2 linked regions of the Oryzias latipes genome follow. The protein of the gene in region 2 purifies or fractionates together with the protein of the main gene of each other region. This does not show direct contact. Links are inferred from orthologs where the notes say so. Each region holds a gene or a part of one and is shown on either strand. Other genes may lie near its edges.

Region 1 (4,420 bases), on a different chromosome or scaffold from region 2:
TGTGTCCTCAGGTTCAGAAGCTGTATCTGGCCACAGGAAACGATCGGCTGAAGCTACTTGTGCTCTATAGTGGTGAGGACGATGAGAGGCTAAGAAAAGCTGCTGCAGGAACTCTGGCCATGCTGACGTCTGAGCAGCCTGAGCTCTGCAAACGCATTCCTGGAACTGTATGGAAATCACTCTGACAACATTCTTACGTGCTGGTGTTATAGCTGACTTAATGTTTTACACTCTTAACCTCTCTCTTTACAGACCACTCACTGGTTGGAGATAATGCAGGCTCTACTGCTCTGCGAAATATCTGACCTGCGTCATCGTGGGGTGGTCATTGTTCAGAACATGATCCAGGCTGATAGAGATCTGACTGAGAAGCTTATGGAGAGTGAAGTCCTGGAGATTCTTACCGTCCTTGCTAAGGGAGGAGAGGGCACATCTGATCCGGTGTCAAAGATTGCCAAGGACTGCCTGGACAAAGCAGTGGAGTATGGCCTCATCAGAAGCAGAGAGGGGAAGATGGAAGGAACTGAGCCCTAACAACACGGCTGCAGTGTGTGGATGTGACACCTAGGAGTTGTAATTTACATGAAAGAGGAAATTTTATTACAACTGAAAGTAATTTATGAAAGGTCTCTTAAAAAAACAAACATGTGACAGAAGAATTTGAGTGTTGTCAGGCTCTCATATTATGTGGCTTTTGACCTTCAAAATTACTAAATCCACTTGAATCCACTTCTGTATTATACATTTTCTACTATTTTGGTCTTGCTTTTTTATGTATTGCCTCTAATTTTAACATGTCTTTCTTTAAATATGAACTGCTAAAGATCTCACAATCACATGATGTACTTTGTTTAAAACGTTTATGGCACAATTATTTCCACTACATTCCAGTTCTTTATGTTTAGTTTGCTCTCAAGGCAATTTAGTTTAAACATGTGCACAGAAAAGCAAAATTTATATTTGGTAACGTTTTGTCACATGTATTTTCTTACCTTATAAATCGGTTATCTAATAAAGTTGAACACATTTAAATACATGCAAACTACCTGGTTATTTTTTATTTTACTCTGCTTTAAAGAAAATATTAACTTCTTCCCTTTTCAATTTTTTATACACTTCCAGAAACTGTAACTGCTTATTCTAGACTTGCATCTTCATCCTTATGGCATTCCTTTTTCTTACATGTACATTTTATTTTTCTTTATGACCCAAATTAAAATGGGTAATAATATAGCTTTAACTTGTATTTTTAATCAGTTGTATTAAAAAACATTGGGGTGGACTAATACAAAGTTTTCATTTGTCTGTTCGGTTTTCATTTAATTCAGATTTTAAAATGAATCATGCTAAAATTACCAACAATGGATTTAAAAATGACAACCTATTTTGTTTTTTTCTATCACTTTTTTTTATTTCTAATTTTAAAATACTACGCTATTGTCAACTACTTCTTCCTTTTTTTTAAATAAAGTTTTTTTGAACGGGGAAAAAAGCTATTCAAAAGTACAACAACGCATGCGCAGACGTTTCCGAATCGTCTTGTATCTACTGCCCAAAAGTTTCTGAAACAAACCCTTTAAAGACGCAAAAGCCGATGTAATGCGCTGGTTTGGGTTTGGTTTTAATGCTTTTCAACAAATTCAAACCCAAAATAATCCAGAATACAGCGGCCTCGATGCCGAGGAAAGGCTGAGCAGTCCGACTGAGCTGAAAGGTCACGTGAACAGAGATGGTCGCTGTTTTGAGTTTAGTCAAATCCGAGCAAGCTGGAGCAGAAGAGCATCGCTGCATTCGGATGGTCAGATTTCAAAATCCCGATTGAAACAGTTATTTATTGATTTTTGTTTTCTAGGAATAACATTTTTGTTGTTGTCTATCAGACGCCGGCTGCGTGTGTGTGGCAGGTTTCGTTAATGACTCTTGCAGAGGAGTTATAAAACAAAGCCGTGGCTGCAGAGATGTTTTCATCAGTGAGTCCCACCTCACACTCGCTTTCCTGGACAGAGTTGAGTGCTGGGATCTGCAGAGCAGCGATGAAACTCCATCATGGACCATGGGCATTGACACCCAGTCAAAGAGCTCTGGTCAGTTGCATCTTGTTTAACCCTTGTGCCATCCTGATCCTATGGGGTCAAGATGACCATTGACGTGTTATTCCTACCATGACAAAGGTGGAGAGGATTTCATGTAATCCATGGAAACCAGTGAAGATCACAAACCATTGAAGAAAAAAGTTCAGCGCACTGTCTGGTGGGGTCTAGATGACCCCACTCCCAATGTTAAAATGCCTAGGATAGCACAAGGGTTAAATAACAAACAGCAGTGTACTCAATGTCTTTGCTTTCCTTATGTTCTTATTTTTTTTTAGCAGCTGTCAATTTGCCACTGGTTCCTGGTGGTTATATAGCCTCCAAACCTCCGTTCTTCCACTCCTTGTCACCTCACATGCAAGCCAAGAGCCTCGCTTTGGGTGGAGAGCATGTCATCCTCCTCACTGCAACTGGAGCTGTTTACACTTGGGGACAGGGAAGGTACAGCAGGAGCGTCCTGCTAACTAAACACCATAAATCACAAAGTTACCTTAAATGTTTACACAAATGCTAAAACAATCTCATGGCAGTGTGAAGCATACATTAACGAATTGCATAGCTTTATGCATTTGACCAATCGGATGTCATTAATCAATTGAATGGAGCCCTGTTATGTTAGATGCCTGCCTGCCTGCCTGCTATGTAGTTGAGGGTCATTTGGAGTATATTTTAAGTGGTGTTGACTTATTGAAGTGAAATGGGGATTATGTTTTATTTGTATTTTGTTCAGCTATTTGTTCATGTATTGCAAGTCATGTTGTGAATATTGATCACAGCAGTTTCCTTTTCATGTTGTGCAGCCCTAATTGTGTGTATCTCTGTGTGTTTTTTTAATAATTTGTTTGCATGCCTTTTTTTAATTTCATTTTTTATGACAGTCATGGTCAGTTGGGACACGGAGGACTCCTCCCTGAGGAGGAGCCCAGGACAGTGGAGGCTCTGTGGGGGATGAAGATGAGCTCTGTATCTGCAGGAGGATGGCACTCTGTCTGCATTAGTGGTAGGCCCTGAAGGCATCGCAGGTGCAGTGTAAAAGTGATAGAAGACATTTTTGACAACAAACTGAACTGCGTTTATATTCCTTCTTAGATGCTGGAGACCTTTATGTGTGGGGCTGGAATGAAAGTGGACAGCTTGGACTTCCATCACAAAGGCTGAGAAAAACTTCAGAAAAGAAGACGGACCAACAGGAAGGTTTGCAAGCAATACATTATTTTTTTCTACTGTTCAATATAAATAAAAACTAATATTTAAGATGAACAAAAATCAGTTTCCCATGCTAAGAACAGCATTAGCTATAAGAAAGAATAGAAATGCCACTGCCTAGGTTTTTATTAAGTTGCTTTAGATGTCCATTGTCATATCTTAAAGTCTTTTGTGTCATTATCTACGTTGAATAGGAGAATTAAGCCAAAATAGCAGCACACACCAGGAAGAAGTATTCATTTCAATCCAAGCGTTCCCAGCCCTGTTTGATGTCACTCCATTATGTGAGGTCAAAACAGTGAGTTGTGGCTCACGGCATACAGCTGCAGTAACAAGTAAGAGTCTCTTTACAAGGTTTATGTCCATCTTAGATCGATGTTTGACAAATGTATGTCAATAATCTTTTTTTTTTGTTATTTCTGATTTCAGCTTCTGGGGATCTTTATACTTGGGGATGGGGTACGTTTAACCAGGCTCAAACTTTTAAGACCACCAATGAAATTGAGATGTGGTGTTAAAGCCTATATCTGTATGACTCCTCATTGCGTTGTGTTTTCAGGTGAATATGGCCAACTTGGACACCAATCATTTAGCAGTTCAGATGAGCCCCAGCGTGTGGAGTTTTTTAGGGCGCAGCAGCTGCATGTTGTTGGCGTGGTGTGTGGCCCCTGGAACACCTTTGCTGCAGTTGCCAATGAGGAAGGACTTGCTCCTGAATATCCCACAAAACCTCTCAATAAACATGGAGAGTAACATTTTATACCAAACAAGTATTCTAACAATTGAGATTTTGTATTTATTTAGTATAATAAAGACGTTGGAAATTAAGCACAATGTATAATAAACTATTTATATACAGACATTAAAAAGAGCTTAGAAATTTTAATTCACAAGTAAGTAGAAATTTAAGGCGGAGCTGTGAAAATCATTGGACTTATAACTGACACTACAATGAAAGTTACAGCTGAGTATTTCTGTGATCCGGTCAAGGTCTTTACAGCACAATCTTGAATGAGCTGCAAAAACAAAGTTATAGAAAATGTTAGAACATGCAGAACGATGCTGAATGAACTGCAAGGGGATATAGTAGTGATGACATGGATAAAGGCTTCATTCACCTGACA
Region 2 (4,315 bases):
AGGTCTACATAACACCCAGAATCCTTTACTCTGTTGTTTCTGCAGAACAGAACTCTAATATTTGTCCCACTTCTCACTTCTGAAGTGTCACAGGACACTTCAGGGGAATCCCACCCCATGCTTTTATTTTATAGCTGCCATTGCTACTTTCCTTCAATTTCAGTGTTTGTCCCTGAAATAATACAGGAATTTTTTGAATCTATTGTTTTAAACCAGACCTAATCGGTTTACTAGCTTGTAGTTGAGCACATTTGTACTTTTTTGGGGGGAATATTTCCATCCTTGGGGTTTCATAAGGTTTTTTCCTATGGAGTTTGTTTGTTTTTTAATGCTTTTTATTACCTACAAGTTTCTTTCTGGGATTTTGTCATGCTGGTTGACAGAATCGAACCACAAGAAGTAGTTAGAAAGCTGCTTTGAATAAATCAGGTCGACATCCTTGCAAAAATGATGTCAAGTTTATTTTTAAAAAAATTAATAAAGCTTGCAGAATGATTGGAGGGCGTTGTTTTAAAAGATGAAAATGTGTTCTTGAAAATTAAAACATAAAATACAGGGGAAAAAACGTTTTTGTTTAAACAGCATCACTATGTCAACTTTTATTTATGGTTTCTTAAACCTGTAAATGTTTGTACACAGCATGAAGGACTCTCATGCTCCTCTGCGTGTTTCAGTCATCTCAGCAGCATCAGAGAACTCTAAACATTAGAAAGACTGTGTTGTTTCAAAAACAAGACATTTTTGACTTGTTAGTTTTACAAACTATCAAAATAAAAAAAAAAAATGGGAAACACAAGTCAAATATGATTTTTTCCCCCTGTTGACAGCCATAGTTTAGTGTTTCCTGAGAATAAAACAAACCTCCAGGGGTGGTTGTTGAGAGCGGGCCAGTGGTCAATGATTCCTTCTAAAATCACCGGTTTGAGGGGAAGCAGGTAGTTTGTGCTGAAGCTTTCCAGGGAAGGACACTTGATCCTGGGCACTGCCTTCTCTTCTCTGATTGAAGGACTGCGGGGGCCCTCAGTCTTTAATTTCTGTTCGTGACAGAACAAAAAGACGTGCATGTCAATGAAATGTGGTTTGGACTGTGTAAAAGGTTATTTTCTCCCTCTTAACATAAAAAAAAAAACAAGCTTAAAAAAAAAACAAGCAGCAGGAGGAAGAAATAACCAAAAATCCTTGAACTTTGTGCAGCTCTTCGCAGCAACCTTGAATGTTTCAGCTAGTTTTGAAAGAGCATTTATCAAGTGTGAATTTAAAAAACTCAGCCATGTCGGGTCTGAGAAAGGCAAGTGCAAAAGGAATAGAAAAAAATGTTTTATGCATCAATTTTTTCATGAAATGCCACCAGAAATGAAAAGGATTAGCATGTGCGAAAAATAAAAACCAGCGATGGAGCAAAATGACAAAAACATTTAGTAATTTTGTGTCGAAAATCATAACAAACCTTAGCAACAACTTCTACACTTTTCTCCTCGTCTTTACTGGTTTCGCTTATTTCATTTTGCAGAATTCGAACAAGAACCTGGAGTATGTCATCCATGATGGCCGCACCCATCAGTAAACCCATGTCACAAGTCCTGACGGCCTCCAGGATCTCCTGTTGTGATGGATTTTCTCGGCACAGTGCGGCCACTTTGAAGAGGCAGCCATACGAGTAAACCCGTCTCCATTCCTTGTCCACGTGGCGCCACGTCCCTGTGTTCAATCTTTCCCATGAAATGTCTAGAATGATCTGGGCGTTGAGCCCCTGGCTGGCGCACGTCGCGTTACCGTACAACTGCTTCCGACAGCGCCTCAGTACTTCCACCACGCTTGGGTCTACTTTGTCGCTGAACTGCAGAGGGAACTGTTCCTCATCAGCCGGCAGAGTGGAGAGGATTTTTGACCCAAGAGACGACATCGATCAGAAGAGTGTCTTTCTGTTCTGAACACAGGTAAAAGAACACAAGAAAATGTTAAATATACATTCACAATGGTTCAGAGGCTGGAATGGGATCACTTATGGGCAATCAGTGCAAAAAATCTGCCTCCTATCAGCACATCCTCACAGAGGATGCTTGTTTATTTCATCTTCAACAGCCTGCAAACTGGCAAACAAAGCACACAGGTGAGGCTACAGTGAGCCAGAACCGTGCATGAGACTCAGGCAGAATGACAAGATTGCAGCAGGCTCTCTGGAATGCTGCCTCTGCATGACTCCATCAGTTCCTGCAAAGGTGCCAACAGGCAAACTCTGAGCACCTGATTCCTTTCTACACAGACACAAACATGGCTGTGGAAATAGTACTGACTTGACTAAGCTGAAAAAAAAATGGTTTTATGGAATACTTTGACCCCGAGGTTCTCTCAGATTGTAGAAAATCCCACAAAATAGATTTTAACACGTGATCTTTTTTATTTTAGCATATATAATGTATATAATTGCTCCTTTCAATAGAATGTTGTAACTATGGTTTATACCATTTCTAGATTCAATCTTAAAAGGTACCCACGTTACAAAACAAAGCATTGTTGCTTTAAGGTAATTTAATTAGTCTGCAAAAACACAGAACACCTTTTGAGTTCCATACTCCCAGGATATTTAAAATTAAATTACACCGTTACCGTAAATTATTCAAAATGAAAACACGTATTGACGTACTGCTGAATTGGAAATAAATACAATAAATTTTACCTTCCACATCCAGATTTTAAACTGTTTATCAGATCTTTTATTTTATCATTATTACTTTTAATTTAAAAAAGAGGTTTGACAGCTAACGAAGGTGCAAAACAAAAATCCGCTGCCGGTGGGCAGACAAAACCCCACCGGAGGGAAACTCAGCGGCGGGAAACATTCGTTCCATCTAGGGTTCAAAGATGTCAAAAAACACTGCGAAATCCCTGAAAACCTTTTTAAATATTTACAAAAGTACATGATGTAACACTTGAAAAAATATGATAACATTACATTTTGTACCCTTTCATTTTTAAGAAGCTCCTTAATGTGTATTCACCCTACACACCAATTATGTTGTAAAATCATAGTGGCATTGCATTTTTTATGCTCAAATCTTAGTACACCTGTAGAGAATATGAATATGCACACTCTAAACATTTTTTAAATTGTCATTTGCATGGTATTGCATGTGTGCAGTAATATTCCCCTTAGCAAAACATACTATTTAAGTTTACTACAAGTATTCTTGGGCCTGGTGAATGCTGAAATTGAGACACTATAATTGACATTTATTTTTTATTTACTACCTTTAGCATATATTGTAAACTTTAAATGTAACAATTTAGTCTTAAAAAGTATTCAGTCAGTATACTTCCTACTCTACACTTACATGGTCTGCAACAGTCCACAACCTGTGGCTCTGGAGCCACATGCAACTCTTTTGTCCCTTCATCATGACTTTTTGGTTTTGAAGAAAAATGCACAGTAGGGTGTTTGTTTAGGTACATTTATTTTCGTTAGGTTTTTATTTATGTTTCGATTTTTAACATGTCAGATAACTGAGCAAGATGATATGGATGCATATAAAGCACATATTACTATCTTTGGCTGTACAAAGTGTCTGGTTGATGTTCAGAGGCAAAGCTCCTGGTTGCAGTAGCCTTTGGATCTAAAAAAAAATACCAGTATTCTGCACCAATCTTGTCATGCTTATTTTGGATAGTAAGGAAATGGAAAAAGGATGACAGTGCACCGAAGTCATTTGATGGTAAATGTCACGTTTGACTTGGCATTCTTGCAACTTTAGCCCTGTCTTATTTGACATAGGATGCATTTTATTTTGAAAGGAACTTTTTGTTTAACTTTCAAAAGTAAAAAGATTTAAAATTGTTATAAATAGAAAAATATATCATTTTTATTGCTATATATTTATTAAACAGCTGTACTGCAAATATTGAAAACATTTTAAAGCTGTGCAGCCGTTATGCCGTTTTATGAATGAGTGGCCTGATTGTCACAAAAATATAATTTATTCTTAATAGTGAAGTGGAATTTTGCAACTCTTGCATGTTTTTAGGTGTTAAGATGTAGACCCAAGTTACACTTTTCACTTTAGATGTTGCAGACCTCTGATCTATAATATGCTTGATATACTTACATTCATGCATACTTAACAAAAAATACTTCAAGTGTACTACTTTTTGCTTTTTTCTTTTCTTTTTGCAACTAAGGAGATCATTTCATCTCCGATCTCCTTCTTTTCAAATGATCAGGCAGGATCATTCAGCACCAAACAAATGAGAGATCTGTTGACAGTGCAGCTTCGCTTACGCTGATGTCGACACGTCAGTGTGTGTGATCACAATGTAGCAT

What was found.
Region 1: the proteins of kdm8 (region 2) and rccd1 purify together in Homo sapiens (co-immunoprecipitation; 3 studies listed by BioGRID and IntAct, counting the BioPlex papers as one, with this or other methods). This does not show direct contact. The link is inferred for Oryzias latipes from reciprocal best matches to the Homo sapiens genes KDM8 and RCCD1.

The regions. Positions count from the first base shown.
Region 1 is NC_019864.2:22,113,623-22,118,042, reverse strand, and holds rccd1 (RCC1 domain-containing protein 1), read left to right. Parts: upstream 1-1,486; 5' UTR 1,487-1,599; coding exon 1,600-1,798; intron 1,799-1,880; coding exon 1,881-2,084; intron 2,085-2,368; coding exon 2,369-2,531; intron 2,532-2,968; coding exon 2,969-3,090; intron 3,091-3,179; coding exon 3,180-3,284; intron 3,285-3,490; coding exon 3,491-3,631; intron 3,632-3,725; coding exon 3,726-3,755; intron 3,756-3,855; coding exon 3,856-4,049; 3' UTR 4,050-4,124; downstream 4,125-4,420. Other genes in the region: unc45a (protein unc-45 homolog A), read left to right, coding at 12-167, 253-534; cib1 (calcium and integrin-binding protein 1), read right to left, coding at 4,291-4,312, 4,415-4,420. UniProt on the Homo sapiens protein: Plays a role in transcriptional repression of satellite repeats, possibly by regulating H3K36 methylation levels in centromeric regions together with KDM8.
Region 2 is NC_019866.2:7,579,095-7,583,409, forward strand, and holds the start of kdm8 (jmjC domain-containing protein 5), read right to left. Parts: upstream 2,821-4,315; 5' UTR 2,678-2,820; intron 1,928-2,677; 5' UTR 1,904-1,927; coding exon 1,448-1,903; intron 1,035-1,447; coding exon 862-1,034; intron 1-861. UniProt on the Homo sapiens protein: Bifunctional enzyme that acts both as an endopeptidase and 2-oxoglutarate-dependent monooxygenase.